4 linked regions of the Cricetulus griseus genome follow. The protein of the gene in region 3 purifies or fractionates together with the protein of the main gene of each other region. This does not show direct contact. Links are inferred from orthologs where the notes say so. Each region holds a gene or a part of one and is shown on either strand. Other genes may lie near its edges.

Region 1 (7,314 bases), on a different chromosome or scaffold from region 3:
GCCCAAGAAAGAAAATTGCCCTCTTTCCTCCATCTTTACACCGTGGCATGTGCAAGCCTGCATAGTGTGTGCATAAACACATGCAAACACTAGTGGGGGTTGGTTTTTTTTTTTTTTTTTTCAAGACAGGGTTTCTGCCCTGCCTATACACTATTTTTTTTTTAAATTCCCTTAACCAATCTTAGTTTTTTTGTTTGTTTGTTTTTGTTTTTTTTGGCTTTGGAGGCTGTCCTGGGACTCACTCTTGTAGACCAGGCTGGTCTTGAACTCACAGAGATCCTCCTGCTTCTGCTTCCCCAGTGGTGGGTTCAGAAGTGTGTGCTATCATACCCAGCTTTATATTTTTATTTTTATTTTTTTTGGTTTTTCGAGACAGGGTTTCTCTGTGTAGCTTTGGAGCCTATCCTGGCACTCCCTCTGGAGACCAGGCTGGCCTTGAACTCAAGAGAGATCCACCTGCCTCTGCCTCCCAAGTGCTGGGATTAGGTGTGCACCACCAACGCCCGGCTTCCAGCTTTATTTTTGAGACAGGTTCTCTCTATGTAGACCAGGTTGGCCTTGAACTCTTATAGAAACAGCTGCTTCTACCTCCTGAGTGCCCAGATCAAAGGTATGCACCACTAAAAGAGGCTTAGAGCAGACCCTTAGGGACAAGAATGCTGGGTGTATTTCACAATGCTGCTTTTTTTCTTCCAGCTTGCTAGAAGCAAGAGGGACTTTTATGTTTTGGTTTGGTTTGGTTTTTCTAAACAGGGTTTCTCTGTATAGCTTTGGAGCCTGTCCTAAAACTCATAGAGATCCACCTCCTCTGCCTCCTGAGTGCTGGGATCAAAGGTGTGTGTCACCACCGCCTGACAGGGCTTTTCCTCTTAACAATGAGAACTTGGTGAGGCTCCTGTATATATAACACAAAAGTGAGGCATCTGTTGAGGATGGACCTCCAAGAACTTTTTTTTTTTTTTGGAGACAGGCTCTATTAAGTAGCTCTGACTGTTAGGAACTCACTGTGTAGACCAGGCTAGCCTCAAACTCAGTCTCCCTCAGGGATTAAAGGTGTGTGCCAGCACTGCCTGGAATTCACTTTGTAGACCCGGCTGGCTTTGAACTTTGATCTTCCTGCCTCTGCCTCCTGACTGTGGGGCACACTACTACATATTGCCCTATATCACTAATATTTTACAGACACAATGAGCTTGTTAGGCATGTGGGAAGTTGAGCCCAGAATTTCATAAGGTCAATGCCTGCCTGGGTTATAAAGTAAGTTCAAGACTAACTAGCCAATTTAAAACAACAAATCAAAACAGGGCTGGATACAGCTAGGAGGTAGTGTACTGGCCTAGCATAAGCCCAGGGGTCTAAATTCAATCTCCATTGGTGTTGAAGGGAGAAGTGCAAAGAAGGCAGACTGAGAAGGTTTAATTATTTTGCTTAGGATGAAAAGCTGCTAGACCTGGAGCTGGGCTCCAATTTAATAGCCTCCTGAACTTAGAAATTTTCCATGTGGTGGTTGTGGAACTTTCCGCACTGTAGAGGCAGTTTTAGTTCATCCATTAGCAGATCCTAGGATTCTTTGCTACTTTTAAACTATTTCCTGTTCCTGTACCGTGCCTCAGTGCGTTTGGTACAGTCAGAGGACAACTTGCCAGAGTCAGTCTTGTCATCTACCATGGGGGTCCCAGGGATGGCATTCAGGTCATCAGTGTCTGGCAGCAGCCTCATCTACCTGCTGAGCCATCTCGAGGGGCCCCTCTTTCACATTCACATCTATACATATAAATAGACACACAGACACTCAAACACACAAAGTCCCATAGCACTTCTTGGGTAAAAATCAGAGACCCAAATGTTTGAGATGGACTGCCAATTCCCAGGCTAGTGGTGGCTACGGTGGGCTCTTGATAAAGAGTGGGGTCACTCACAGATCCGTGATTTGGGATAGTGTGAACATCAGAACTGAGCTGAACACTGCGACAGAAGCCTGGGAACAGACACCCTGGAGTGGACAGGAGGGTGAGGCGGACAGCAGCCCCAGCTTGCTGTTGTTCACAGCCCCACAAAGTAGACCTGGGAGTGAGTGCAGGGCACAAATGATCTCTTGTTCTCCTTCCCTTGATAATCTTTCCCTAAGGTTTGGGTTTCCTAGAACTATTGATCAGGCCAGCACTGGCGCCGGGCACACCCTTGGGACCTAATTGAAGGTTTGGAATCTGCACTGGCAAGCATATCGCTTTCACTGACAAAAGTACAGCAAGAGGAAAGGCCTCACCACCTAAGTGAAGTCATACGTAAGTCAGCAGTCCCGAGCCTGTCGTGGTGTCGCCTTTAATGCCAGCACTCAGGCGACCACTACCGGATTGGTGAGTTCCAGGCCTGCCAAGTCTACACAGTAGGCCCTGCCTAAAATACAAACAGAAACAAAGACAGATCTGCATCCCGAAACAAAATAAAAAAGGACGGATCTCCATCCTCAAGTAAAAACTCCCCAACACATCGTGTTCTTGGGACACCGAGGCATGAAATTAGCATCGTTGGGTACCGGCAGTGAGACGGAGGAAGGGCTGGTATAAATAGAACTGCTTTTCTCTGTGTAGCCCTGGCTGTCCGGGAACTCTCAGAGATCCCCCTGCCTCCGCCTCACCAGTGCTGGGATTAAAGGCGTGCGCCAGTAAGCAACGAAATCAGGAAAGCCCTGGGGAGAGACTGGGCTAGCGCAGCCTGAGACGGTCAAGGACCGCCGACAACGCGACTTCCGTACAGTTATCGCGGGGAGAGGCGAGATTTGCAAAGAACAAATTTTGAAGAGCGCACCGCATCCGGGAGTCGCGTGACCCGACCGCGCCTGCGTCTTGGCTGTGGCTTCGTCCCTAGCCGCGGACTGGCTGTGGATGCGTCTACGGGGTGTCGCAGGGTTCACTCCGGAAGTAGGCGTTTGAAGCCTAGACTTCCTGGGAGGAAGTGTGTCACAAGCTGGGAGTCGACTCTCCGGAGGAAGTTCGTCACGTCGCAGTTGTCTCGGCCCGGCGGATGTGTGTCGCCGCTTAGGTGACGCTGGGAAGTGCTTGCAGCCCCCGCCGCTGCCTTTTGGTTGAAGCACTATGGAGGGAGAGAGGAAGAACAACAACAAACGGTGGTATTTCACTCGGGAGCAGCTGGAAAATAGCCCGTCGCGTCGTTTTGGCGTGGACTCAGATAAAGAACTATCTTACCGCCAGCAGGCGGCCAATCTACTCCAGGACATGGGACAACGTCTTAACGTGTATCCTTGCGGCCTAGGCCTTCGGCCTTGGAGCCCGTCCGGCCACGCTTCGGCGTCCGGCCGGCCGGCCACGCCGGCGGGGACACGAGCGGGTAAGGTGGCGGCAGGAGCTGGACGTCTAAGTGGGGAGAGCCCACAATGGCGCTGGCCGAGCCACTGTTCGCGCGAGGGAAGTGAGGCGGAGTCAATTTCCCGCTCGCTCACCGGTGCTACCAGCCTGGCTGGGAATTCGGACCTCTCCGGTCTTTGTGCTTTCGCCCCTCCTTCCCAGCCCCTCTCTTCTGGATTCTCACCTGTTCTAGTGGCTTTTGAGAGTCTTTCTGCCGTGACCAAAGGCTCCGTTTAAGAGGTTTCACTATTGACGCTGACTCCCAAAGTGTGTAAAAAAGGGGTTTTATGAAGGTGGTCTAGAATTAGCGCCCCGGCTTTGGTTCCAAACCCGTTTTTCCCACTTGCTAGCTGTTTTAACTTGTCAAATTCTTGTTTTTCTATGTCCACCACAACACTTGAGTGTCAGTTGTTTAGTAGCTGTTTCATAGAATTTAAGAGGAAAGAAAAATGCCAACTTCGGTTTGTAGGGAAGTATAAATATGGAAATAATGTTTTAAGTATTCTGCAGAGTATTAAATTCTTGCTTCTCAGGGCACTAGAGATTATTCATTCGTTTTCAAATTTCAAAGATAAGACAATTTATTGACCCCCCTCCCGTTTTCATTCTTAAGAGAATGCAGTCATTTGTGATAAAACTAATAGTTTTGTTAAAACTCTTAGCATTTTCCATCTAACTTTCTTTAAGGTGCAGCTTCAACTTTATGTAGCATTTATTTAAGAGTGCTGAGGGCTGGATATGGTGGTGTTCACCTTTGATCCCAGCATTGGGGAGGTAGAGGTAGGCCAAAGCTACAAAGTGAGACCCTGTCTTCCAAAAAAAAAAAAAAATCTGACTCTAATGTTTAGGTCTTAAGGGTTATTTTTCTTCTAAATAGGTATTCTCTTTATTGGCCAGTTGTTTCCTATTGAAATCCAGTTTGCTTCCCTAGTATTCAGTCAGTGCACAATTAAACCTCTATGTTTCTGTATATGTTTAAGGCACTCTTTAAAAGTGTGTTTAACCTTGTTGCCGTCATATTGTCATCTCTATATAGATTGTTGCTGAAGTCTGGGAATAAAGCATGCTCTTTTTTTCCTGGCTAGAGGTATACCCACACAAACAAAAGACTCTGGTCTAACTAGAGAGAGGGAGGGAAGAGTTTATTTTCAGTGGATTACCACCATCAAATCATTTCAAATGTTTAGTAGTTTGGGAGTCATGTGACATTTCCTGGGAGAAGTAGAACTATGCTGGGCTTGGTGGTGCATGCCTTTAATCCCAGCACTTGGGAAGTGGAAGCAGGCTGATTTCTGTCTTGGTCTGAAGTCATACTGATTTACAGAGTGAGTTTTAGTACAGCCAGGGCTACACAGAGAAGCCCTGTCTCAACACTCCCATATCCACCCACCCAGCACCCAAAAAGGAAGAAAGAAAAAAAGTAGAACTAAAAAACTGATCTCTGGAGTTTAAATTATCCTTGTGCAAGCAAGATGGCCCAGCAGGTAAAGGCGCTTGCCGCCAAAACCTGCTGACCTGAGTTTTATCCTTGTGGCCCATAGGTGGAAAGATTCCTGCAAGTTGTTCTCTGACTCTGACTCCCAAACTTATGCTATGGCCTGCATCTCCCCTCCAAAAGTAAATGTAATTAGAAAAAAGTTATCCTGAACTAATAGCTCATCTTTGCAGAAGGCAAGTGACATGACAGACTTACACCTTGCCACTTGTTTTGTTTATTCAGTCATTGAGTTCTTATAAGTACTTGTTAGGTAGAAGACATGCTGTTGATTGTCAGTTAACAATTTAGTTAGTTCAGGAAAACAAATCTGTTTGATTTGAAGCCGTAACTGTTACCTTCGTGTAGGATTGTCTACTGTGCTGTTTTTTTGGGAAGGGGATTATCTTGTGTGTTGTTGACCCTTAACTTGAGTGCTTCAGCTCACAACTGACTATCAACACCGCCATAGTATACATGCACCGATTCTACATGATCCAGTCTTTTACGCAGTTCCATCGATATGTAAGTATAATTTTGTATGGTATAATTCTTTTGGGTTTGATTCTAGCTGTCTATTTTATGATGGTTATTGTTACTGGACTACAATTTTAATTTTACAATTCAGAGCTGGTCATTTTAAGGTTAAAAAAGTCATGATTTAAGTATAGCTTTCTACTCGGTAAGTTTATGATCATAAAAAGACAATGTAAGTTAGATTTTGCAAAACTTTTGATAAAATTCAGAGGTTAGCTGGAGGAAAAGATGTATTATGTGGTAATGACTGGGGAGATGACTTTTAGGAATGGGGAAGAATAGGGATAAAAGGATATTTTTTTCCTTGGACAAAGTTGTAAATATAGTACTGTTTTCAGTTTTGTTAAAACTGAAATGGCCTATTTAACAATTGGTGATTTGGAAGTGAATACCTAGTAATATTTCAGTTGCAGGTAAGACTATATTTGTTTAATTAAAATCCCAAGGTAAAGCTCGGTCTGTGGTGGTACACGCCTTTAATCCCAGCACTTGAGAGGCAGAGGTAGGTGGATCTCTGGTCTACAAAGTGAGTTTCAAGTCAGCCAGGGCTACATAGAGAAATCCTTTCTTAAACCCTTACTAACCAAGATAATAAAGGTTAATTTGAATAGATGCGTGGATTAGTGGGTCAAATATTCTACTATTATTTCTTAAAATCTTTGAGGAAACTTGTTTCTTTTTTTTTTTTTTTTCCGAGGCAGGGTTTCTCTGTGGCTTTGGAGCTTATCCTGGCACTCTGTAGACCAGGCTGTCTTTGAAGTCACAGAGATTTGCCTGCCTCTGCCTTCTGAGTGCTGGGATTAAAAGCATGAGCCACTAATGCCAGGCTGAGGAAATGAGTTTCAAATATAGGATAGTGCACCTAAAAAACTTGGTTTTAATATTGGGTGTGTTTGTGCTAGTGCCCAGAGGCTAGATGAGGGTACTGAATTCCCTGGAGCTGGAGCCACAGGCTGATGTGATCTACCCTAGGTGGGTGCTGCGTCAATTTACTGAGCCATCTCCAGCCCAGATAAGACATTTTGAGTTGTTTTGTTTTGATGCTATAAGAAGAAACTTTGTGAACCTAAATCTAATTCCTGTAGTGTAAGAAATTGGCAAAATCAGATTTAGGAGTAAAAGGAAAGAAACTCTTAGGATCTTTAGTTAAGTATTGACAATCTTGAATGATTAGTCAGTTTGGCTCTTTCCTGCCCTTAGCTCTCATACTTTTAATAAGCCTTTATTGAAGCTGTCTGGTAGCTCTGAAACAGAAGTAGTGAATAGAGAATGAAATTAAAGAGGAATTCCATATCTGTCTTAGAAATTTTGAAGATGTCAGCTTTCTTTCTGTCTTTCTTTCTTTCTTCTCTTGAGTTTAGAGCCTCACTATGTAGTCATGGCTGGATTTGAACTATCTAATTCTGGCTGCTTTGAAATTCCAAGTTCTGGCATTGTGGGCAGAGTCTTCTATTGCAATAAAGATTTGAAATTTAGGGCAGAATCTTAAATCAGGTTTTTCAGTCTGCACTTACGGGTTAGCCAATATTTCCCTCTTATTTAAATAACAGGCTTTTTTGGGGGGCGGTCATTGAGGCAGGGTTTCCCTGTATATCCCTGGCTGTCCTGGAACACACTTTGTAGACCAAGCTGGCCTTGAACTCACAGAGATCCACCTGCCTCTGCCTCCCCAGTGCTGGGATCAAAGGCGTGGGACACCACCGCCCAGCAGTAATTGGTTTTCTCTAGAGTATTGATTTTAGGTGTGTTTTAGAATTAGTACATCCAAAATGTTACTGTCTTAACACATTAATTTTATAAGTTGGCTGTAACTACAATTAAAATTAGATTTGAGCTTGTCAAGGTGATGCATGCCTTTAATCCAAGCACAAATCCTAGCACTGGGGAGGAAGAGGTTGGCAGATCTCCAAGAGTTTGAGCCCCAGCAAACAGTGGGTA
Region 2 (7,336 bases), on a different chromosome or scaffold from region 3:
TAATATATAAAAGTGAGTAATACAGTCTCATAGCTAGGGGGAAAAAAAAGGAAAAATGTGACTGTTGCCTTATATAAAATCCTGTGTAGTAATCATCTATCTAACAGTCCATACACACACAAAAGTCACATGGAAAAAGTGCTAAAAATATGTATATGAAGCCGTCACAGACTTTCAAAACAGGGTTTCACTAGGTAGTCCAGACTAGCCTCGAACATCTGATCTTCTTGCCTCAGTCATCTAAGTACTGGAATTACAGGCACATGTCACCATACCTCACTAGGATCTCCCTTTAAACACAGTCTACACACATGCAGAAAAGATCTGGAAGACTCTGTAACCAACCCTGAATAGTGCTCATCCATAGTAAATGGGACTTCGCTTTTAATCCTACAGATTTCTATGCTACTTAACACTTTTTGTAGTGCTAGGGGCTTTGCTCCGTGTTGGGCAAGCACTCTTACTAGTGAACTGTATCTCCAGTCTGTTTTCAATAACTAAAACAACAACACCCTCCCCAAAAACCAAGAACAGAGGACAAAGCCAAGGATGGTAGTGCATATCTATAATCCCAGCTCTAAGGAGATGGAGGCAGGAGGATGTTGACTTTAAAACTAACTGGGCTGCATGGCAAGCCCTTGTCTAAAACAAAGACAAATAAGTTTATTCATAAGTAAACAGAAGGTAAGATTGAAGGAGGTAAAAATGTTCTATAGGGTTGGAGAGATGCTCAGGTTAAGAGTACTGGCTACTCTTGCAGAGTAACCAAGTTTGGCTTGTATATCACCCATATCATGTCTGTAACTTCAGCTCCAAGATATCTCTGGGCTCCGTAAGCACGGGTACATCCACACAGCCACATGTACACATTCTTTCTTTCATAAACCTCTGGTTAAGGAAAAATATTTTAAAAATAAAGGATATTCATATTGTCTAAGATTTTCCAACTCCCAAAAGAAACTACATAATTCAAAACAGTATGTTTGTGTTGCAGTTCTTAAATCTGTAAGGAGGTAGGAAGGGATGATAGGGAAACATCTGGTTTTGAGATAATTTAAAAGACTTACATGTAATCTGCCTCGAAGCTCTCGGTCGTTTCTCATCTTCACATAAATTCGCTCATCCAAACTGAGCCTGATGAGATCCAGGGGCTCCTCTACGGTATTGGTAGTCTGTTGCTGATGAAGGAAACACACTTAGTAATGGACCACCAGAGGCAGAGTGGTGTTTCAATCACTGTTAAGCAGTGAAACCAAGGGCTAGTCACATAACCCGTTTATACCTTAGTCTAATTTGCCAAATGCAGAAAATAGTGTCTCCCCAATACTATTATTTTAAATGACATATGAAAGCTTAGAACGGTGCCTCGATGCTATGTAAAAGAGGAGAAAAACATTATGTGGAGAGGAGTTAAGTAGCAAAATGATGACTGAACTTCCAAAAAATCCAAAGTGTTAGAGTACCACTTAGGAACCTTAGCTTTATCTTTTGTATAATTCAATCATTTGAAAAACATACCTGCAATACCTATTCACACACTACTAAAAAGATCTGACAGAATTTGAAGTCAGTACAGCGCAGGTTAAGTTTAGGGTGCTAATTGGCTGGCAAGATGAACCTACCTACCGAGTAGTATAGTATAGAAGTTAAAAGAACTGAGTCATTAGGAAGCCTTTGTTCAATTCTGGGTTCTGACCTGGCTCTTCTGAACTGGGATTAAAAATCATGCCATTTCTTGTTTCAGACTCCTCATTTGCAAACTGGGGAGACCACATCTTTGCCTCAGAGATCTTATAAGGACTAAAGGGTCTATCTGAAGTAAAAAGGAAACACTTCTAAATAATTACCTTTTTTTTTTTTTTTAAGAGGCATGCCCATGACAGCCTTTGATGAGCAGCAAGTCTTTGCCTCTCAGATGCTGGGATTGGGCAGGTATGAACCGAGTCTGGAACTTTTAAGAGTGTGTGTGTGTGTGTGTGTGTGTGTGTGTGTGTGTGTGTGTGTGTGTGATGGGGTTCAAGTAGCTGTCAGAAGACAACTTTATAAAGTTCTCTCCTTCCTCTGTGTGTCCCAGGAATTGAACTCAGGTTGTCACGCTTACAAACTGCAAGCATTTTTACCTGTTATCTTACCAGCCCCACTCCCAGCACCTGTAATTTCTTATATTTAATATAATCTCTTGCTTGCTTCAAGATTTAAGAATGCATTCTTGGTCAGTCATTTCAGAGGAATGATAAATCAGAATTACTCTTCAAGAACTGTTGGAACAGGTTTCAAAGGTTAGAACTGGGATGACCTGGATTCAGCTATATGAAAGAGGTGGTTCCAGCCATCAAGAATTAGTAAGACCATTCAGCAAGCTTCTCCAGTGAGTACCTGGGGTCAGTGAAAGCTGAAAATTGTAGGCTGTGTAGATATGAGGCTGATGACAGGAAACAAACAACCCTCCCAGAACACCCCCAACCCCGGATCTCAACTGGTGCTTTCCTCCTCCCACCTTAGCTCAGCAGGCTTTTGTTAAGAAATCAGACAACCAACCACTGGATTACAACAATACAGAAGCCGCATCCCCTCAATGGAGCTCACTCTAGTATGGAGAGGGGCATATAAATACATAGCTGCAAAACAATGAAATCTGTTCCCACGACAGCCCTCTTCAGTCTAGGATGGCCACTGTCAATCCTTTTCACCCTGTAAGCTTTACATTCTGCCTTTTCAAAGAAGCTGCCCCTGAACATTGGGTTCGTTCCCTCAACTAATAACCTGCTGAGTGCTAACAGCACTGTCCTAAACCTAGGAAAGAAAAGCAAACACAGAAAACCCCCCTTTATTTTAAAGGTTTACTTTTATCGTGTATGTGAGCAGTTTGCCTGTATGCATGTGCACCACACGCTGACACAGTGCTCGGTAGCAGAGGCCAGAAGGGGGCAGAGGATCCCCTCCTGCAACTGGAGTTAAGATGCGTTGGGGTGCTGTTAAGCCAACATGTGGGTGCTGGATCCCAACCATGGTCTTCTACAAAAGCAACAAGTGCTCTTAACTCCTAAAGCAACCTCTCCAGCCACCCCCGCCCCAATGCCCCTATTAAGTAACTTACGTTCTAGTTATGGAAGAAATGTCTCAGATAAAGAAATACATATTTAAAATAACATGCTCTGTTATTTTAAATACCCGTGTGTGGGTGCGTGTGCGTGTGAGGGAGTGCAATCATTTCGGAACTCCACAGGTAGCTAAGGAATAGGGGGAAGAGCAGGTGAAGAGGGCAGCCTGTGATCCTGTGTGCACCCGATCTTGGCTTGCTTTCTCCAGACTACATCTCCACCAGGTTCTCTACCTCCCTCCCTCCCTCCTACTGCACTCCAAGTGAGCCGCTGCCTGCGCACCAGGCGCTTGCACGTATTACAAAGCTGGTGTCCACCACTACCTCACGCTTTCTGTCTGGTGTCGACAGCCGTTTGCATTTTACAGATAAAAGCCGATGCCGAGCGTGATGGGCAGATAGGCGGGTTGAGAAAACTCTAGGCCTGCGGAAGTTTCAGGAGCCGGCGCGGCTACGGAAGGCCGTGGTTCCTCGGGACAAAGAGAGACGGGCCGCTTCTCAGCGAGCGTGGAAAACGCGAACCCGACCTGGAAGCGCAAGCGCTTCCTCTAAGAGCGCCTCCGGACAAACTTACCTGATCTACGTCGTCCGCCATGTTTCAAACGCTGCGCCCTTTCCACCTCTCGCGAGAACAGGCACTCAGAAACGCAAAGGGTTCCACTCTCGGGAAGTAGACCTACTTTATTTTTGTCCCTTTGCGCCCCTGTAGTTTGCAGGGGGAGGGGTTTCTCCGGAGGGCGTGGTCCCAACCTGGTCAGGGGGCGCGGCCCAGGCATGGCCCGCCTCGGGGCGGGGCGAGCACGCGGAGAGTGTCTGCGGCCGGCTGGCTGCGGTAGCCCGGAGTGTCGCTGCCGGGCAGCATGGCTCCGAAGCGCCCTGCGGGAGGAAGGCGGCGGGGGCGCGGCCGAGAAGCCGAGAACAACAAAGCAGCCCGGCCGGAGGAGAGCGAGGCGGGTGAGAGGCTGCGGCGCGCAAGGCGATGGTGGCGGAGGCTGGGGCGGGCAGCGGGGCGGAAGGTCTCCACGGCCGGATGCGCGGCGCCCCGAGGGCCTCTACCATCAGCCCTGACCCCACCGTAACCCCTAGGACCAAGTCCAGCCTCTTGGCAAGTGTTGAGGGCCGATCAGGAAAAAGCTTCCCTGTTGCCCGGTGTCAGAGAGACACCAAAACTAGGACAGAGGGAGACCTTGTAGTGTGAGAATCTCTCTCCAAGTTGCATCCACTGTAATTCCGGCCCCAGGTTTGCGATGCGCTTCTTACCTTGGTCTTGAACCAAGGAGAAGCTTAAAATATTCCCATCTCAATAAATCACTCCTTCACCCACCTGTTAAAACACGCCTTTTCTTAACTGCTAGTTCGTCAGGAGGTCCAGTTCAGCTTCGGAGTCACTGAAATATGTGCCTAATTCTCTTAATTTCATAGCTGGTATCCTGTTCCTGTCGTTTTCTAGTTGAGTGAGTTCCCCTCTACATCAGATCTCCATCCAGCAGCCAAGTGATGTAGAACGACAACAAAACTTCATATGCCTTGGTCTTCTTACTTAAAACCTTCTTAGATGTGTGCTCTCCGTGTATAGCATCTACCTCACTTAGCATGTCTCTCTTCCAGATATTCTTATTTTAAACAGCAGCCCGGCCTAGAGCTCTGGGTTTTTCCTGTCTCATCCTCATGATCACAGGGATTACAGATGGCTCTTGGTGACTGCCTTTCTCTTCTTTGAATATACTGTTTATTTATCTGGAGGCTTGGCCTTCCATGTTTCTTTGCCTTAGAATGTTCTCCGTCGCTGTTGCTGGGTCTAATTTCTTCTCTACTTGAGGTCTAAGACATTCCACGGTCATCTTAAAGTAGTCATTCCTAGGTATCCTCCACCACAGAATCACAGTGATGTTCCTATTCACCTATCATTCTACAGTCATCTTCATTTCTGATTGTTTGAGTACAATGTAAGCTTCATAAAAACAAAGCTCATTTCCCTTCTTAACCTATTTTGTTCTTTCTCTTGTTTACATCTCTGAAAAAACACTTTACTATTTTTTTATTTTATGCATATGTTTTTTGCATGCATGTCTGTGCACAATGTGTGGGCCATGCCTGCAGATGTTAAATAGATGAGGGTGTTGGATTCCCCAGAACTGGAGTTACAAAAGGTTGTGAGCTGCCATTTCGGTGTTGGGAATTGAACTTGAGTTCTCTTGGAAGGGCAGCAAGTGCTCTTAACTGCTGAACCATCTCTTTTGTCCTGCAAAAACATTTTTTAAATATGCAAATGCATGCTGCTAGAGAAGGGCTATCTAGGCCTTCTAAAATAACTAGATAAAAAAAACTTGACTAGTTGAGTGACCCCTATACCCACCCCATAGCTCCTACTACCTTGGAATCGGATTACATACAGATTGTAAATTCATTGCCCACTAGGAAACAGTAATATTTCCTAAACATTAGAGGCCTTAGCTTACTCTACACTTAAGAAACTTCACCGTCTTCATTTACTCATCTAAGCTAAGACATTTCTTGAGCATCTGCTATGTGGCGTCTGCCAGTTTGGTAGTTTCTACATGGAAAAGTTGAGGAGCACTCCTATGCATGCAAATGAAGATGAGGCTTAGCTCCTTTTGATAGTTGGGAATAAAGAACATCATCACTTACCTTGTTGTCCAATAGGCTCCTCTTCATATGTTTTTTTTTTCCTCTGTTAATGTCTTCATTGGGAAATTCATTAGTTTCTCTAAGTATTTATTCAGTGATTTCCAGCCACTGCTCTAAGTACTGGGAGTATACTAGTAGACGAAGCAGGCAAGGTTCCTGCTATTAGGATGCTGATATTCTTTGGGGAAGCGAATAATGTTAACATAATGAGATTTAAAAAGAGAGAAAAAAGAAAAGCAAATTCACATGGTGATGAGTAAATCCGGTTGCTCCCGTCAGACTGCCATAGGTCTGGGAAGAGGCAGTGTTAGTGTCCAGGTGCTGTAGCCAATTTGAGCTCTACATTGGAAGTGAGGTGGTAAGTACAAGGGGGGTGTCCGATGCACAGAATGGGATGCTTAAAGACTCTTGGCTGTGCACAGTATGAAGAGATGAACTGTGGAAATAGAGGTGATTGCAGGGCAGGGACCTCAGCCTGAAGATCAAACTAAGGAATTTGAATTCTTCTTGAGTGCCTTGGGGAGTTCTGAGAAGATGTATAACCTGCCCTTAAGTCTCCATAGCTCAATGAGGAAACCACAGTGCTAATTCTTGAACTGCTGAAATGACTGAGCTCAAGGAGACTGGTTAGGTATGCTAGATGCTCTTAATTTTGGAAACTATTCTGGAGATTTGTTGAGAGGCTACCCTTCTCCTCTTCGTCCTGCAAAAAATAAACAGCAAACAATGCTGAAAAGTCACCTGTTTCTGCCATCTAAAGATTACTACTGCAGAGTAGAGGTCCATTTTCTTGCCGCCTGAGCTTTTTCACACTCAGCCAAAACAACGTTTTACACTGAACATATTATGCCATTTTTCCTTTGTTTTAATGATTTAATTAAACCTGGTGGTGCACCTTTAATCCCAGCACTCCGGAGGCAGAGGTAGGCAGATCTCTGTGAGCTTTCGGCTACCTAGGTCTCCAGAATGGCAGTGTGCTTGAGCAGAGTTTGGTTTAGAATGTGGTAGAAAGAAAATAGTAAAAGTAAGGTGCAAAGAGGTTTGTGAACTGGAAGGGTCTCACCTGAGTAGTAGATTCTACTAGGTCTTCGCAGGTGGTTGGCAAGCATGGTGTCATTGAATGGATTCGAGGGGTTTTTTTTTTTTTTTTTCCCTTACATTTCTTTTGAGATTGGAATTTAGAGTTTTAGTCATAGGGTGGTTTCTGTTTTAGGAGAAGTAGAATAAGAAAGAGTCTTCTGGTAGTGTAGCTGGGTGTAGCACTTCCCTATGGTACATGGGGCTCTGCATTTGATTTGTGTGGTTTTTATTGTGACCATAGAGAAGGCTTTAGGTGAAAGGTTGAGTACTGTGTGCTGCCTAAGACACAGGATGGTGACCAGGGGATTGATGACAGATGTGGTTCTGGGGAGCCTTGCCCAAAAGTCTCACTGCCTCCACCTTCTCAACCACCTGTCACCTCTTGCTCTGTGTTGTTACCTAGATGATTTTGAAGATGAGAAACAGAAACCCCCAAAGAAGTGCCCTCTCTCCAAAGTTTCGCAAAGAAAACGGAAGAGAGCCTGCAGTGATCCAGGAGACCCCACA
Region 3 (7,308 bases):
GAGAGGAAGCCGATGTAATTCCAGCACAGCTGGGCTTGCTCAAGTGCCAGAGGTGTCAGGGAGAAGACTTCGGGAAGCAACTTGAGAAAAGCTCTCTTTACAGATCCAAGGAAGGAAACTTTTTGGAGCCAGACACGAAAGACCTTGGTTGGGATAATTTCCTCTTCCCTAGGTCCTCAGGAGCAGCAAGGGTAGCCTCTTCACACCTTCTGTCCAGAAGGCCACTTAGTGGCTGGGGGAACGGGCCTTGTGGAACAAGTACACAGGACGCTGGAAGCCTAAAGAACATACAGAAGGCAGGTGGGTAGGACCTTGAGATTCTTCACAGAGCCAGCACCCTCTCCTCCCAGAGACAAAGTAGAGCCATTCTTACCTCTGGAGGTGTTACTTGGTGTGGCCACAAGCTCATAGCTGGAGAAGCCCACCTCTGGGGATGTCAGGTAGGAACTGAACTGTTCTGGCTTCAGCTTGATTCGAAAGTAGTTCTTATAGATTGTTTCCTGGGGAAATAGGAGAGGGATTACTTCAACTTACTTCTCTTTCCTGGCCAAGCATGACAACCTTTTGTCTTTGTTCAGAAAGTCTGAGCTGGGTATGGTGGTACAAGCCATACAAGTCATGTCGGGTACTTAGAAGGCTGAAGCAGGAGGATGAAGAGTTCAAGACCAGCCTGCAGCACTACAGAGCCAGTTCAGGCCAGCAGCTTCAGCCAGTCTCAAAATAAAGAGGGTGGTTGGCATAACTTAGGCAGAGGCAGGCAGATCTCTGAGTTCAAGGCCAGCCTTGTCTACAGAGCAAATTCCAAGACAGCCAAGGCTACACAGAGAAACCCTGTCTAGAAACAAAACAAATCCCCCCCCCCAAACAAACAGGCTGGGGCTATAGCTCACTTTCCCTGCTATGTGTGAGGTCTGGGGTTTAATCCACAGTAAAATAAAAAGATGATTATCCCCTATCTCTACAGAAACCCAACTCACGGTGAGAGACTTTCTCCTGCAGTAGGAGGACCATGGTTGGGGTTCCAGGACCAGAATACCGCCAGGGCGGAGATGCCGGTAGATGCGGCGGAACATGCGCTTCAGCCCCTCGTCACCCCAGTTCAGATGCACCCACTTGGTGAGGCTGAGACAGAGCACCACATCATATTCAGGTCTTTGGGCATCCACCAGCTCATCTCGGTCCAGGACATAGTTACCCTGAGGGCCAGAAGATGGGAAAGAGGTCACAAAAGGAAGAGGTGTACCACTGGCCCCACAACCACCTGCAGACTCTGAGACAAAGTCCTACACACAACCTCACTTGGGCCCTTGGTGGCCTTCTTCTCTGAGGCTCCTCTCGACAGCGCCTTCTGTCAGTCTCATGGTCTCTTCTCCCTTTCCTGCCTCTGCTTCCTCCTGGTGCTAAACCAAACAAACCTAAAAGGGAGCCTGGGCAGATTTAAATTGAACTAATTATCTGAGGGATAACTGAAGAATATTGGAATGCTCCCAAGACCCAGCCCTCATATACACAGGCAGCAGTCCTAAAGACTGAGGTTCTTCCCACTAGGGTCTGCTAATGCTTCAGGTCTATTTCTTCAATGAAATTAAAAACCCAGGAAACCTTCTCTTCCCAGTCCCTGGGAAGACATGTTTTCAGGATAAGCCATGGGCACATGTTCCTCTGGATGGCCTAACTGCTCAATGGAAGAAGCTAGTAGAGACAGGGACACATGCTCTGTCAGGCTGGCTACTCTTTCCTCCCTTCACCGCCCCTCTCCTGCTATTCAGAGTCAGCACGGGAAAGACGGAAAGCCAAGCCTACTGGGTTCCTGACCCAGTCTGTCCTGTATCTAGGGAAACAAAAAGCAGCTGATACATACAACAAGGTCCCTATCAAAGGCCCCAAACTACACATACTGGAGTGCCAGTCTCCTCCTCCCGCAAAGACACCCAATCTCAAGCTCCCTCAGGAGATTTGAGGACAGGGTTCCATCTGGACAGAGCTGTAGAGGTAACCCTCAAGGGAAGGTGGATTGTCTGGTATAGTTCCCACTGGAAGCAGGACAAGTCAGCCCCTGTATTGGGGATGAGATCCTTGTAGTCATAAGACCAGATGTTAAGAGCCTGCAGGTAGAGATCCCACTTTCCAGGTTATAGGATAGACAACACACCCAGTAGAGATTCTCTGGCCAATGCAGACTGTTCTCTCCAGAAGATGGTTCTTGTAGGAGGAACAGATGCAGGAATACACCTCTAGGTCATGACCTTTCCCCCAACACATTACTATTTAATCTCATCTTCACACTTGAACCCTATTCCAAGAGCCTTTGGATTCTCTTACCGTGACGAAGACGACATTGTTGGGGAAGACAGATGTGTCCGCTCCATCCAAGGGCACTTGGGGTGCAGCGATGGGACCCCGGCTGGCTGTCAGTGAGGCTGGGAAGCAGCTCCTTTTTCGGACAGTGGTAGTCCCTTCCTCCCCCTCTGTCCCTGGGTCACCCTCAGAAGTCTGGGCTCGGAGACGAAGCTCCTCAGACAGATAGTGTCGGATATTTTGGCGGGCAGAGTGGATAAGCCGTGGATCAATGTCCAGCCCCACCATGCGGGCTGGGCCCCACTTGCAGGCAATACTTAGGGTCAGATGGCCAACATTGCAGCCCAGATCTAGGACGTCCCGGCCTTGAAACCACTCCGGCTTCAACACCCTAAGGCGCACATCCTCGCAGGAAGGATTGCGATAGCCATAGTACTTGCAGTAATTCCCATACTGGAACTTTTGCTGTTGCTTTTTGAAGCCAGTTGCAGGGAGTGGGTGGTGATGACGGCCTCCCCCACTCCCTTTGCCCTTCTCCTTGGAACCCTGGCTTCCACCCCTAGCCCCTGCCTCCGACTTGCTGGAAGTCCTGCGTCGTTTTCGATGTCGGGAGGAGGAAGATGAGGGTGCAGAGGTAACTGAGGCAGCTGGAGGGGCAGAAAGGGAGCCTGAGAAACTCTGCAGGGCAGATGGAAGGGGAGACACAACTTCATCCCTGCAGTTGATGGCTGTGTTGAGTTCATAGGGCTGAGGGGCATCTCGGTTCTGGCCCCTGTGCTGCTGCTGCTGCTGCTGCTGCGTGGTGGCACCCTCCGCATGGAGTGAGGGGGTGAGAGGGTCAGTGGGGAGGGCGGCGTGGCTGTCACTCCCTCCAGGCGCCTGCTGCTGCTGGTGGTGAGGTCCCCGGTGTCTATGGCGCTTTCGACCAATCTTGAGTGGCGAGGCAAGAACTACATGGGCCTCATCAGTGCAAGTGTTGAGACTGAGCGGGTCAGTGATATCTTTGGGGATGAGGATCTCCACAGGGTCTCGCCCCTTAGCCGGAAGTGGGGATGACTTTGGGGTCTCTGCATTGAGCGCTCGACTTACTTCCTCATCCAGGAGGCTATTCAGGTTCAGCGGATCAAATATATTGCCCCCCAGAAGGAAATTGGAGGGTAATACCGAGTCGCAGTCCGAATTCACTCGCCGGCGCCTCTTGAAGGCCGGATGCTTGAAGCCTCCACCGCTCCCTCCCCCTACGTTACAGCTATTTCTTCGTTTGCCCCCGCCACCCCCGGGGGGTCGGTGGGGCTGGTAGCCATTGCGAGGTCGAGGAGGGGCCGGGGGACCCAGGTCCGTCCCGCCCCCTCCCCGTCGCTCCTCCCCCACGTCCGCAGGCGCGGCGGCTCGCCCGTGGGGCTCCCCGGGCGCCTGTGCCTGGGGGCCGCCCCCTCCGCTGGCGGCGGCCCCGGCCGAGTGCGCGCGTGGGCCCGGCCCGCGTTCCGTCCCGTCGCGGAGCTCCCCGGAGGCAGCCTCCCGGTGCGATCGCACCTCGGGGCCGCCCCCGCCGCCCGACTCATCTTTGAGCGGCGGTGGCGGGGCCGGCACCAGGAAGGGCTCCTTCTCCGCCGCCATCTCGATCATCTCCTCTCCCCGTTTGATTCCCCCTTGGCAAGCGAGGGGACCGAGAAGAGACTGAGGGGAAGCCCCCTGCAAACCCTCCCCTTCCCCGAGTGCGCGCGCAGCTCTGCCTCGCGCCCAAGCGCCTCCACAACCCCGCCCGCGACACACCAAGCGCGCCCCACTCGCCCGCGAGACCAAAACAAGATGCCCGCGAGACCCGGGCGAGCCGAGGACCCAACTGCGCGTGCGCCGCCACCCTTTCCCCGCCGCCACTACCACTCTGGCGCGAGCGCGCACGACGGGCGCGCGGGGCTCTCGTCCAGGGCCCGCGCATGCGCCCTCCGCCACCACCCGGGCTGTGCGCGCATCGGGAGTGCGCACCAACTTAACGGCTCCGAGAGTTTAAATGCAGCCCCCCCTCCCTAACAACCTCGCCCTCCCCCAGCCCGAGGCGCCCCCCTCCCCACACGGACGCCCGACTTCCCTTCGCTGCTCTGTCCAGCCCTACTGATAGCCTTTGTCTCTGCCGCGCGCTCCCACCCACCGGAGGCGGGGACCGGAGCCGGTGTGAACAGGTCTCCTTGACACCCGACCCTTGCTGCTGAGGAATGAGGCTCCACCGTCTCCGCCCGGCTCTAAACCCAACAACCTCCCCGCCCCGCCTCCTTCCTCCCCCATCCCCGCCCCTCCGGGAGAGCGCCTGCGCACGGCGCTTTCCGCCTTGCGCGGGTACCAGGGGCGACACGTGCAGGAGGCGATGCCCCGCCCCTTCAGCCCTGGGGGCGGGGCGTGTGACGTCGCTTCCTCACGTTAGGTACGCGGCGTGCGTGCCCCGGCGGCAGGGGCGGGCTCGTGGGTGATCTCTTTACCCCTTCCTTCCGCCCGTCTCACTGCGAGGAGGAAGTGGAGGAGGAGGAGGGGGAGGAGGAGGGAGAGCGACCCAAGTAGGCGAGGGAGCCGTTACCAGCAAAGTGCAGTGCACCATTTTACACAGTCTCTGACTGCACCAAAACGTCCCCCCCCCCCGAAAAGGCCGGTCTCTCGCAACCCGCCTCCTCTTCCCCCGACGGCGAACCCCGACGCCCGACACCTGCTCGGGGCGGACGCCTCCGCCACGGTGCGACGCCTGCGCGTCAGCCGCTTGCCCGAGGGTGGCGTTGTTGGCGCCGGCGGCTCCTGCAGCACCTCACACACCAGCGCGGCCGGGCGAGCGGGCGGGAAGGGTAACGGCTCGCCCTGGGCCCTCCGCTCCCGCCAATGGGAAGCACGCATTCGCTGCCGAGTCCCCAGAGTGGCGGCAGGCGGAGTTTCCCCGCCAACAGACTGTGTCAGACAAGAGCGCGGCAGAGGCAAGAGTGTTGCTGGAGATGGTCCCACACAAAGTATAAAAGCGTGAGGGAAACGAAAGGATGCGGGGTGTGTGATGAACACAGGAATGGGGAGGCGATTGGAAGCAGAGATACCGGAACCAAGTACCTCAGGCGCTCTGCTGCATATGGGGTGGGGGTGGAGAGAACCGGCGCCCGCGAGGATTATGGGACTTGTAGTTTCAGCCGGCTTTAGTTTGGAAGATGGCGGTGTACGCCAGCTGCGCATTCGCAAAGCGGCTTCCAGCTGCGCATGCGCATCATCTCTGAAGGCACGCCGCTCGGGGGCGGGGTTTGTCCGTGTCCTCGCGCCTGCTCTGGTGGCGGGAAAAGTAGTTCGAGGTGGAAGAATGTGCGGAATGGCTGCGACGGCGTAGGCTGCGCCTCGTCTTTAGGTCCTCGGCGCCCCAGAAGGTAGCTGGCTGCTTTTATCCCGCCCTAGAGGAGCGTGTTAGGTGCGGTGAATCCTGGTACCTGTTGGCTGAGGAGAAATTTTCCGTTGAGAGCTGCAGCCGACTCGACCCCTTTCTCAGAGTCCCTGATTTCCAGAACACTCGCAACACAAACAACCCAGTGTCGTGGCGGGAAATGAGGACTTGAGGGACAGTGAGGCTGAGCGGGAGCTGAGGGGAAGAGGCGCTCACGGTGGGATTCCTGGTCAGCAGGAGGGGATGACGAAGCGCCGCGTGGCGCTCGGAGGCGCGGCTTGTCTGAGTGCCTGTTCCAGAGAGAACTGCTGAGGAAGGCACAGGACACATGATCCTTGAAGCGAGAACGTCCCTGGGGACGGGGCCGGGGGAGGGGTGGGGTGGGGGGAGGGCGGCGCGAATGGAAGCAACCCAGAGAGCGATGTCAACAATAGAAAGCACATCTGCTCTGTGGAAAGAATCTGTTTTGCTCTAGGCGTTGGTGGCGCACGCCTTTAAACCCAGCACTTGGGAGGCGGAGACAGGCAGATCTCTGTGAGTTCGAGGCCCCAGCCTGGTCATAGAAACAGCCAGGGCTGTTGCACAGAGACACCCTGTCTCAAGAACCGCCCCCCCCCCCCCGCCAAAGAAAAAAACTGTTTAGCTCATAAGTGACCAACCATATCTTTGCCGACACCCCACCCCCTGCTATTTGTCTCCCACAGACAGGGTTTCTCTGTGAACTCACGCTGTAGACTAGGCTAGCCTCGAACTCACAGAGATCTGCTTGCCTCTGCCGCCGGAGTGCTGGGATTAAAGGCGTGCGCCACCGCCGCTCGGCTTTTTCTCCCCCTCCCCCAAGCCTCTGGCCCAGAACCATGGATTGTATTTGAAACTTTCTGTTGAAAGTTTAGCTTGGATAATTACTTCTGAAAGTAAATTTGGCCAGGGTAGATGGACTCGTCTTTCTTGTTAAATGTTTAAAGTTTCTAGAGCATGCGTGCTCAAAAGGGAACTTAAAAAAAACAAAAACAGTTAATCGAGTCATGAGAATAGGCAGGAGTTCATCGGCTATTAGACATTGATGTCAAAAGGCCATTAACTCCATTTTAAAAGAAATGAAAATTTTAAATGTGTTTTATTTGTTGTGTGGGGGTGTGTTTATGTGTTCGTGTGTGTGCACATGTCATAGAGCATGTGGAGGCCAGAGGACAACCTGATTCCCCTCCCCCCCAACATATGGGCTCTGGAATCAATTGCAGGTCATCAGGCTTGGCAGCAAGCACCCCTGCCACTAAGCCATCTCCCCTCCCCAGCATCTATCCATTCATGCATCCATCCATCTATCTTTTTTCAGAGACAGGGTCTTGTTTGTATCCCTGGCTGTTCTCAAAGTCACTTGTAGCCCAGACTGGACTCAAGTTGTAGCAGTGGACATCATTCTCTCAAGTGCTGGGATTACAGCCACGAGCCACTGACTGTCTTAAATGAGATTTTTAAATATAGGAGGCTTTTCTTTTTTCTCTTCCTTTCTTTTTGGACAGGGATTTTCTATGTAGCCCTCAAATTTGAACTCTAAATTCTGCCTCAACTTTATGAATGTTGGTATTAGAGTCTTTACAATTTGTAGA
Region 4 (7,258 bases), on a different chromosome or scaffold from region 3:
TGTGTGTCTGCCTGTATATACATATTTAAGTTTATACAAATAAAGTTAAAGAGTGCTCTATAATATATATATATATATATATATATATATATATATATATATATAACATTGCTTGTTTGTTTGTTTGTTTGAGATGGGATCTCTCTATGAAGCTCTGGCTCTTCTGGTACTTGCTGTGTAGACCAAGCTGGCCTCAAACTCGCAGAGATCACAAAAATATTTTTAAAATAAACAGCCAGATGCCGTGGCTGGCACCTATAACATCAGCACTTGTGAGCCAGCGGCATAAAAACTGCCAGGAGTTTGGAGCCAGCTTGGTCTACAAAGTGAGTTTCAGACCAGGTTGGGCTACATACTGCGTCTCAAGAAAAACAAAAATAACTTTAAAAAGCAACCAGTATGAAATATAAAAGCTCTTGATAATATATATATAGCCTCAGTTTGCACTGTTAGAATGCCTTTACTATACTGTAAGTTAAGTTAATTAGTTCTAAGCTTGATTTGTCTACCATAGAAAAGAATAAAAGGTCTCTTGTCAATTAGGTTAATCCTAGCAGAACTGTTCTATCTTCATACAAAGCCATCTGGAAATGGAAGATACTACTTATCCAATGTCCTTGATTTCTACAAAAAAAAAAAAAATACAATCAAGCACAAGTAATCTACAGTATCTAGAGCCAGTAACTTGTTTCCCAAATGTTAAATTTCCTTTAGACAAAGGCACTTTTTTTCTACAGAAGGAAAAATGTTCTAAAGTTAGCAACATTCCTCCAGATAAATCCACTGGCCGTACCACCCTAGATGCACTAGATCAAAGTTTCTGGAGTTAGGGCCTAGGAAGTTGTATTTTCACAAACTCTAAGTTAGGTTTGAAAAATTCTGCCTGCTTAAGAGCTCTCTACAGATTGGAAACAGATTTCAATTCATTGCCCAATAATCAGATGACAGCGAAGATTGTAGTATTCAAAGGGCTCGATGGCGCTGTCTTTTTTGTTTGTTTCACCTTGTTTATTGAGACAGGGCTTCTCTGTGTAGCCCTGGTTGTCCCGGAATTCACTTTGTAGACCAGGCTGGCCTCGAACTCACAATATCACCTGCCTCTGCCTCCTGAGTGCTGAGACTAAAGGCGTGCGCCACCAATGCCCTTGTTCGGTGGTCAAGTCTTGATGCTCCACCCACCCTCCTGCCCCCCCCCCCACTCTTACCCGCTAGGTTGTTGTAGCAGTCTGTCTGGGTGGTGTGCAGTATGTTTTCTTGCTCTGGCGTGAGAGCTGGGCCCTCAGGTCCTAGATTGGGTATCGGGGAAGGCAGACTTGGATCCAGACCTCGCAGCTGGAGAAGAGCTCGATGGTACCGACTCACAGCATCTCGGTACTTCCCTTCCCGGTAGCGCTGGTTCCCTTCCTCCTTGAATAGCTGAGCCTCCTGCAGGCGCTTCTCCATGACTGTTAGAATTGCTAAATGGAAGATCAAAAGAGGTCGTGGTGTTGGGATCAAAATTATTGGTCTGGGAAGTCTATTTTGTAAGCAAAAAAAAAAAAAAAAAAAAAAAAAAAAAAAAAAAAAACACTCTCCTTTAACTTGAGCTTTGATGTTTTTACTGCAGTTCTATCTATCCTGTTTTCAGTTTCCAGAAGTTCCACAACAAAAGGAATAATGAGGTAGTGAAGCCATAGACCAAATGATTTCCAAAAGAAGAGATCCTGGCGTGAGTATAGACTCTAGGAAGATTTAAAGGCCCAAGTACAAATGCCAAGTGTTTGACCGCCGCAAAATTCGTTTCCTTTTCTCTGAGACACACCCCCTGACCTGGAAGAAGATGGAGTAGGCGGGAACAACTGAAACAAGTCAAAAAGGCTTCGCTCCTTCCCAAGCTCTTTATTTGACCTTATTCAACAAGCATTTGTTGATGTCTCTGCTGTTAATTAAGGAACCGAAGTGAATGAGGCCTGAACCTCCCAATCTGCAGGAGAGACAGATGTCGCATGCACAGGCAAACACAACAAGCGCAAGACTGCAGTGGCCCAAGCCCGGAAGTTTCCTCCAGGGATTCAGTTTAAGAGCCGCAGCACCGAGAGGAAAAGAGCCGGCTTCCCCGCAGTTTAGCATCTAATGGGGAGCGCGCATTGCGTCACTTCACCCAATCAGAAACGAGTCCAGAAAAGTAATCCCGCAAAAATGACCCCGCCTTCCCAGCGGACCAACCCGGAAAAAAAAAAAATTCCCGGCCACTTCTCCAATAGGAAAAAAAGCCGCACGATATCAGATGTCCAATCACAGCAACAGACTACGATTCAAGATGGCCAATGAGAGAGGCTAAGGGCGGGGTCGGAGCTTCTGTTGCTGGGTAGAAGTTTAAGCACAGAAAAAGACCCGGGCATTGCTCGCTCTCGCTGGAAAACCCTTTGCCTACGAGCTACGAAAACAACTGCTCTGCGCCAGGCAGCCCTCCGGCTTGTCTCGGTTGATGACTTTCAGAAGACGCAGTGAAAGAATACGGAAGAGACGACATCAAGTAAGACCTAGGGTGCCCCGGCGAGTGGGAGCGAGCAGGAAGTAAGAGTACTGACAGGGTGGGCGGGGCTCCGGCGCGACTGCGCAGAGCCTACAACCGAAGGACCGAACGAGGGGCACACACACGCTTCCGTGCTACGAGGCACTTGAGCCGCAGCCAGCCTTGCCGGAGCAGGTTCCTTGCGGCTGCGCAGTCATGAGGCCTCCGCTGATTGGCCGGGGCCTCTGAGGGGAGGGAGGGAAGGAGAAGTGAGGGAACTCGGTCGTCCTCAGCGCGCGCTCGCCCGCCAGCCCGCCTGCCCGCCCGTCCGCGGCCGAGAGCCGACTTTCTATCACTTGTTTGGGGCTCAGTGAGCCGCAAGGGGCAGGGCCGAAGGAGGGCGACACAAACACGCCGCTGTAACCGCGCGGCTCCTGCCGCCGCCTGCGTGCGCTTACGAGCGCGAGTACAGTGCTGGCGCGGGAGGCGGAGGCGGGCGGCGGCGGCGCCTGCGCGGTCGGGCTCGGTCGACAGTTCGCAGGGGAGGAGGCGGCGGGAGGCGGAGGAGGCGGCGGCGGCGATGGAGGTGAAGCGGCTGAAAGTGACCGAGCTGCGGTCGGAGCTGCAGCGGCGGGGCCTGGATTCGCGCGGCCTCAAGATGGATCTGGCGCAGCGGCTTCAGGAGGCTCTGGATGCTGAGATGCTGGAGGACGAGGCCGGCGTTGGCGGCGCCGGGCCCGGCGGGGCCTGCAAGGCGGAGCCTCGGCCTGTGGCCGCGTCGGGCGGAGGCCCGGGCGGGGACGACGACGAGGAGGACGACGAGGAGGAGGAGGACGAGGAGGCGCTGCTTGAGGACGAAGACGAGGAGCCACCTCCTGCTCAGGCGTTGGGCCAGGCCGCGCAGCCGCCTCCGGAGCCCCCGGAGGCGTCAGCCATGGAGGCCGAGCCCGAATCTTCCGACGCACCGGCGGAGGCCACGGCTGGGTCAGGTGGGGTAAACGGTGGTGAAGAGCATGACACCGGCAAGGGGGAGGAAGACGGGCCGGAGGAACGCAGCGGGGATGAGACGCCGGGATCCGAGGCACCGGGTGACAAGGCCACAGAAGAACAAGGTGAGGAACTTGCAGCAGAGCCAGGTTCCAACCCAGCCTGGTGCGTCTCTCTGATCCAGCACCCCACCCTGCACCGCGCCATCTGATTCCTTGTTTCCACTTGCCGGAAAGTGCACGGGTTCCGTGGCTGTTTGATGGGATTCCCCAGGGAACGTGGTTTTCATCCACTGCCCATGTTTTTTGAGGGTTTGGGTGCCTTGTTGCTCTCCTGTTTGCAGGAGGGAGGTTTCTGCCTAACGTGGTTTCTTGGTGTTAGTGGATGGAAGTGTGTGGTGTGGCATGCGTGTGTGCCTATGTCTGTGTCTGTGTGTACTTTGGAGCTACCTGTGGATCAGTCTTCTGGTGCTTCCTCTTTAGCTGAATACCTTTAGCAGAAAATGTAGTGAGAAATTGGCGATCTGCAGGTACCAGTTAGACGCTTAGGGCTTCGACCTATCTGACAGTTAATTTCTTACAGTGAGAATGTTAAGCAGTAAACACTCTGTGATGTGTTTTTCTGTCAAACTCCCGTTAGAGCTTAAGCCTTACAGAGACTGGGTAGCTAACCTTGCTCCTTCCTGCTTGGCGGTAGTAGACGGTGTCTAGTATGAGCCTATTGCGTTTAATCATTAACTAGCAAAGAAAAAGTCTTAGTAACTTTTAGTAGCATGTTAGTTGCTTGAATGAGGCTTTTTTACCTTGTCCCTCTTGTTTTTATATCTTAATTCTCCTTCCAAGTCAGTAAATGGGCGTATGTTTAGACTTACTCTACACCGGTGCCTTTAAGGCTCTTGACTTCCTGAGCTGAAATGGTTGAGGGGTTTCTAGTGGGTCAGTTGAGTAACCTTGTGGTAGAAAATGTGTAGAGACTTCCCCTGGGAGTTAATGACCTTTCTCCTTTCTTTTGAAATGCTTGCCTGGTTAGAGCTAATCCATAGTGTCTGACTGTCAGGGGAAGGAGAGCTGCTTCCAAGTCTTACTTCCAAGGGGATTGCCTTAAGTTTTTTATATCTTTTTTTTTTTGTTTTTTTTTTTAAGGCTGTTAGTGTCATGTAGTTGGAATCTATTTTACAATGATTGAATACAAAGTATAGTGTTTGGGGGGGTTGTTGTGTCTTATGTCCTGGAACAAAATTCCTATTACATAACCATTAACTTGTGTGTATCCTAAATAGCAGATAAAAAGCATTCACAGATAAGAGAGTACTTTAGAGGAATTGTTGAAGAAGACTTTTTAAGCTTCAAAACAAAAGCCTAAGGGAAAAAGAAAACGCTATGTGTTACTCCTTGTAAAGAATGCTGCTGTCAGGCTTAGTGGCACATGCATTCAGTCCCAGCACTTGGGAAGCAGAAGCAGGCAGATCTCTAAGTTGAGGCCATCCTGGTCTACATTGTGAGTTCTAGGACAGCCAGAGTTACATAGTGAGACCCTGTCTAGAAAAAAAAAGAAAAGAAAAGAAAAAAAGAATGTTGCTAAATATCCACCACCACCTTCCTGCCCCAAATTCCATGAAGTGAAGCTTTGGTGTTATTTATGGTTCACTTGTGACTTACTGATTTGCACTGGTAGCTTTCAATTAAAATACCTGTTAAAAATTCAGCTGCCATTGTGTGGCTGTGCATTTTAATGCAGAAAAGTAGTCTCTTAAAGAAAATATAAGCCTTCTGTTCCATATAGCTGTTGAAAGGCATTAGAAAATAGTCATTAAGTACTTGCCATAAATACAAATCTGATGAGAATTGAAATTCACCTGTGAAGGTTTTCAAACAACTTCAGGGATATTTTCCTTTCTTATTAGTGGGGAGATCTGCCATGTTGGCTTGAATGAAGTAGATAAATTTAGAATGGAAAAATTGCCCAACTTTTTCTATTTCTTGACTGTATTTAGCTCACTGTGCCCCTCACCTTAACCAATGAAAAGATAATTGGAAATAAACCATTACATACATACATGCATACATACATACATACATACATACATACTAGGAACACTTTGAATCAGATACCCTCAATTTCCCATATTGGTTAACTCAGATTCTCTTAGTTCTGAGCTTATTCTCTGCTCCAGTATAAAAACTGCTGATTTTCTTTCCCTCCCTTTTGTAGGAGATGACCAGGATAGTGAAAAGTCAAAACCAGCAGGCTCAGATGGTGAGCGGCGGGGGGTAAAGAGACAGCGGGATGAGAAGGATGAACATGGCCGAGCTTACTATGAATTCCGAGAGGAGGCTTACCACAGCCGGTGAGGGAAACACTCCCTTGATGGGAATGTCTGCTCTGCTTTTGGTATTACTGGTGTTGATTGGACAGTCTGGAAGGAGGGGTGGATTGAAAAATGCAATAGGTCTTTGTAGGCATAAAATTTAGAGTAAATAAGTCTGTGATGGAAACTCCTATTTTTTTTTTCTCATTGAATGAAAGAAGCTGTCTGCTGGAATTTGATAATTCACTGATACTTTAAAATGGGCAGTGCCACACAAATAACCTCAAAGAAAGTAGCTTTGGGTATATTGCATTTGCTCTCCTCTCCTTACCTGTAGCTCGAAGTCCCCACCACCTCCAGAAGAGGAAGCAAAAGATGAAGAGGAGGATCAGACACTTGTGAACCTGGACACGTGTATGTATAATACAAATAATTTGTTTTTTGAGAATAGGGCCTTGCTATATATTCCAGGCCCTCTTCCAACTTGTGATCCCCCTATGTTAGTCTCTGGAGTGATCTAAAAATGAGTTTTGAGAGTAAAACTTAATGGTCTGATTATTTGGACAGTTTTTGTGTCCATTCATGATAACTGGGCATAATGGTGCTCTCAGCACTTTATAAGTGTTGAGCTTTGCAGTAAACTAGTCACATCCTTCTTTCTTAACAGATACCTCGGATCTCCATTTCCAAATAAGCAAAGACCGATATGGAGGGCAGCCACTTTTCTCAGAAAAATTTCCTACCCTTTGGTCTGGGGCAAGAAGTACTTATGGAGTAACAAAGGGAAAAGTATGCTTTGAGGCCAAGGTAAGGGACTCTTTAAAATCATTTATTAGTTTAAATTGTGTATTGGACTCCTGGCCGGTATTTTATTAGTTCAGGAAAGGCACCCTGCTTAACATACCCTTAGCTCTGAGCAACATATTGACCCGTATGGCTTTGTTTTGTTGTTTGTTTTTTGTGCTTGGAGTTGAACCCAGGGCCTCATACATGTTAGACACTTTATTTCTGAGCTACATCCCCAGGCCTACAACTTTGGTCTTTGGTTCAGGTTTAATGAAAGTTGTTTTTCTGATATTGAACTGTGATTTTTTTTTCCCCCAGTTTGTATACAAATCTTATCTTTGTAACTCAGACTTTGTACCTGAATTGGTCAAAGTACCTGAGACTTCCTTTCTAACTTGACCAGGTAACACAGAATCTCCCAATGAAAGAAGGCTGCACAGAAGTTTCTCTCCTTAGAGTTGGATGGTCTGTTGATTTTTCCTGTCCACAGCTTGGTAAGGTTATATTTTAGCTTCTTGCTTGTGTTTAACATATTGCTGATTCTGTGGAAACTTTGCAGATAGATATTGATTGTTGTCTATCATAGGTGAAGATGAGTTCTCTTATGGTTTTGATGGAAGAGGACTCAAGGCAGAGAATGGACAGTTTGAGGAATTTGGCCAGACTTTTGGGGAGAATGATGT

What was found.
Region 1: the proteins of Mepce (region 3) and Ccnt1 purify together in Homo sapiens (affinity purification with mass spectrometry; 3 studies listed by BioGRID and IntAct, with this or other methods). This does not show direct contact. The link is inferred for Cricetulus griseus from reciprocal best matches to the Homo sapiens genes MEPCE and CCNT1.
Region 2: the proteins of Mepce (region 3) and Lsm3 purify together in Homo sapiens (affinity purification with mass spectrometry; 3 studies listed by BioGRID and IntAct, with this or other methods). This does not show direct contact. The link is inferred for Cricetulus griseus from reciprocal best matches to the Homo sapiens genes MEPCE and LSM3.
Region 4: the proteins of Mepce (region 3) and Hnrnpul2 purify together in Homo sapiens (affinity purification with mass spectrometry; 3 studies listed by BioGRID and IntAct, with this or other methods). This does not show direct contact. The link is inferred for Cricetulus griseus from reciprocal best matches to the Homo sapiens genes MEPCE and HNRNPUL2.

The regions. Positions count from the first base shown.
Region 1 is NC_048595.1:395,040,037-395,047,350, reverse strand, and holds the start of Ccnt1 (cyclin-T1), read left to right. Parts: upstream 1-2,982; 5' UTR 2,983-3,095; coding exon 3,096-3,256; intron 3,257-5,282; coding exon 5,283-5,364; intron 5,365-7,314. UniProt on the Homo sapiens protein: Regulatory subunit of the cyclin-dependent kinase pair (CDK9/cyclin-T1) complex, also called positive transcription elongation factor B (P-TEFb), which facilitates the transition from abortive to productive elongation by phosphorylating the CTD (C-terminal domain) of the large subunit of RNA polymerase II (RNA Pol II).
Region 2 is NC_048601.1:52,287,949-52,295,284, forward strand, and holds the start of Lsm3 (U6 snRNA-associated Sm-like protein LSm3), read right to left. Parts: upstream 3,825-7,336; 5' UTR 3,696-3,824; coding exon 3,675-3,695; intron 1,179-3,674; coding exon 1,068-1,178; intron 1-1,067. Other genes in the region: Xpc (DNA repair protein complementing XP-C cells), read left to right, coding at 3,961-4,054, 7,233-7,336. UniProt on the Homo sapiens protein: Plays a role in pre-mRNA splicing as component of the U4/U6-U5 tri-snRNP complex that is involved in spliceosome assembly, and as component of the precatalytic spliceosome (spliceosome B complex).
Region 3 is NC_048597.1:116,679,495-116,686,802, forward strand, and holds the start of Mepce (7SK snRNA methylphosphate capping enzyme), read right to left. Parts: upstream 4,321-7,308; 5' UTR 3,925-4,320; coding exon 2,323-3,924; intron 1,428-2,322; exon of another isoform or gene 1,295-1,427; intron 1,197-1,294; coding exon 978-1,196; intron 501-977; coding exon 374-500; intron 279-373; coding exon 226-278; 3' UTR 1-225. UniProt on the Homo sapiens protein: S-adenosyl-L-methionine-dependent methyltransferase that adds a methylphosphate cap at the 5'-end of 7SK snRNA (7SK RNA), leading to stabilize it.
Region 4 is NC_048596.1:51,267,100-51,274,357, reverse strand, and holds the start of Hnrnpul2 (heterogeneous nuclear ribonucleoprotein U-like protein 2), read left to right. Parts: upstream 1-2,875; 5' UTR 2,876-3,074; coding exon 3,075-3,606; intron 3,607-5,692; coding exon 5,693-5,828; intron 5,829-6,126; coding exon 6,127-6,203; intron 6,204-6,456; coding exon 6,457-6,596; intron 6,597-6,978; coding exon 6,979-7,069; intron 7,070-7,161; coding exon 7,162-7,258. Other genes in the region: Ttc9c (tetratricopeptide repeat protein 9C), read right to left, coding at 1,206-1,443.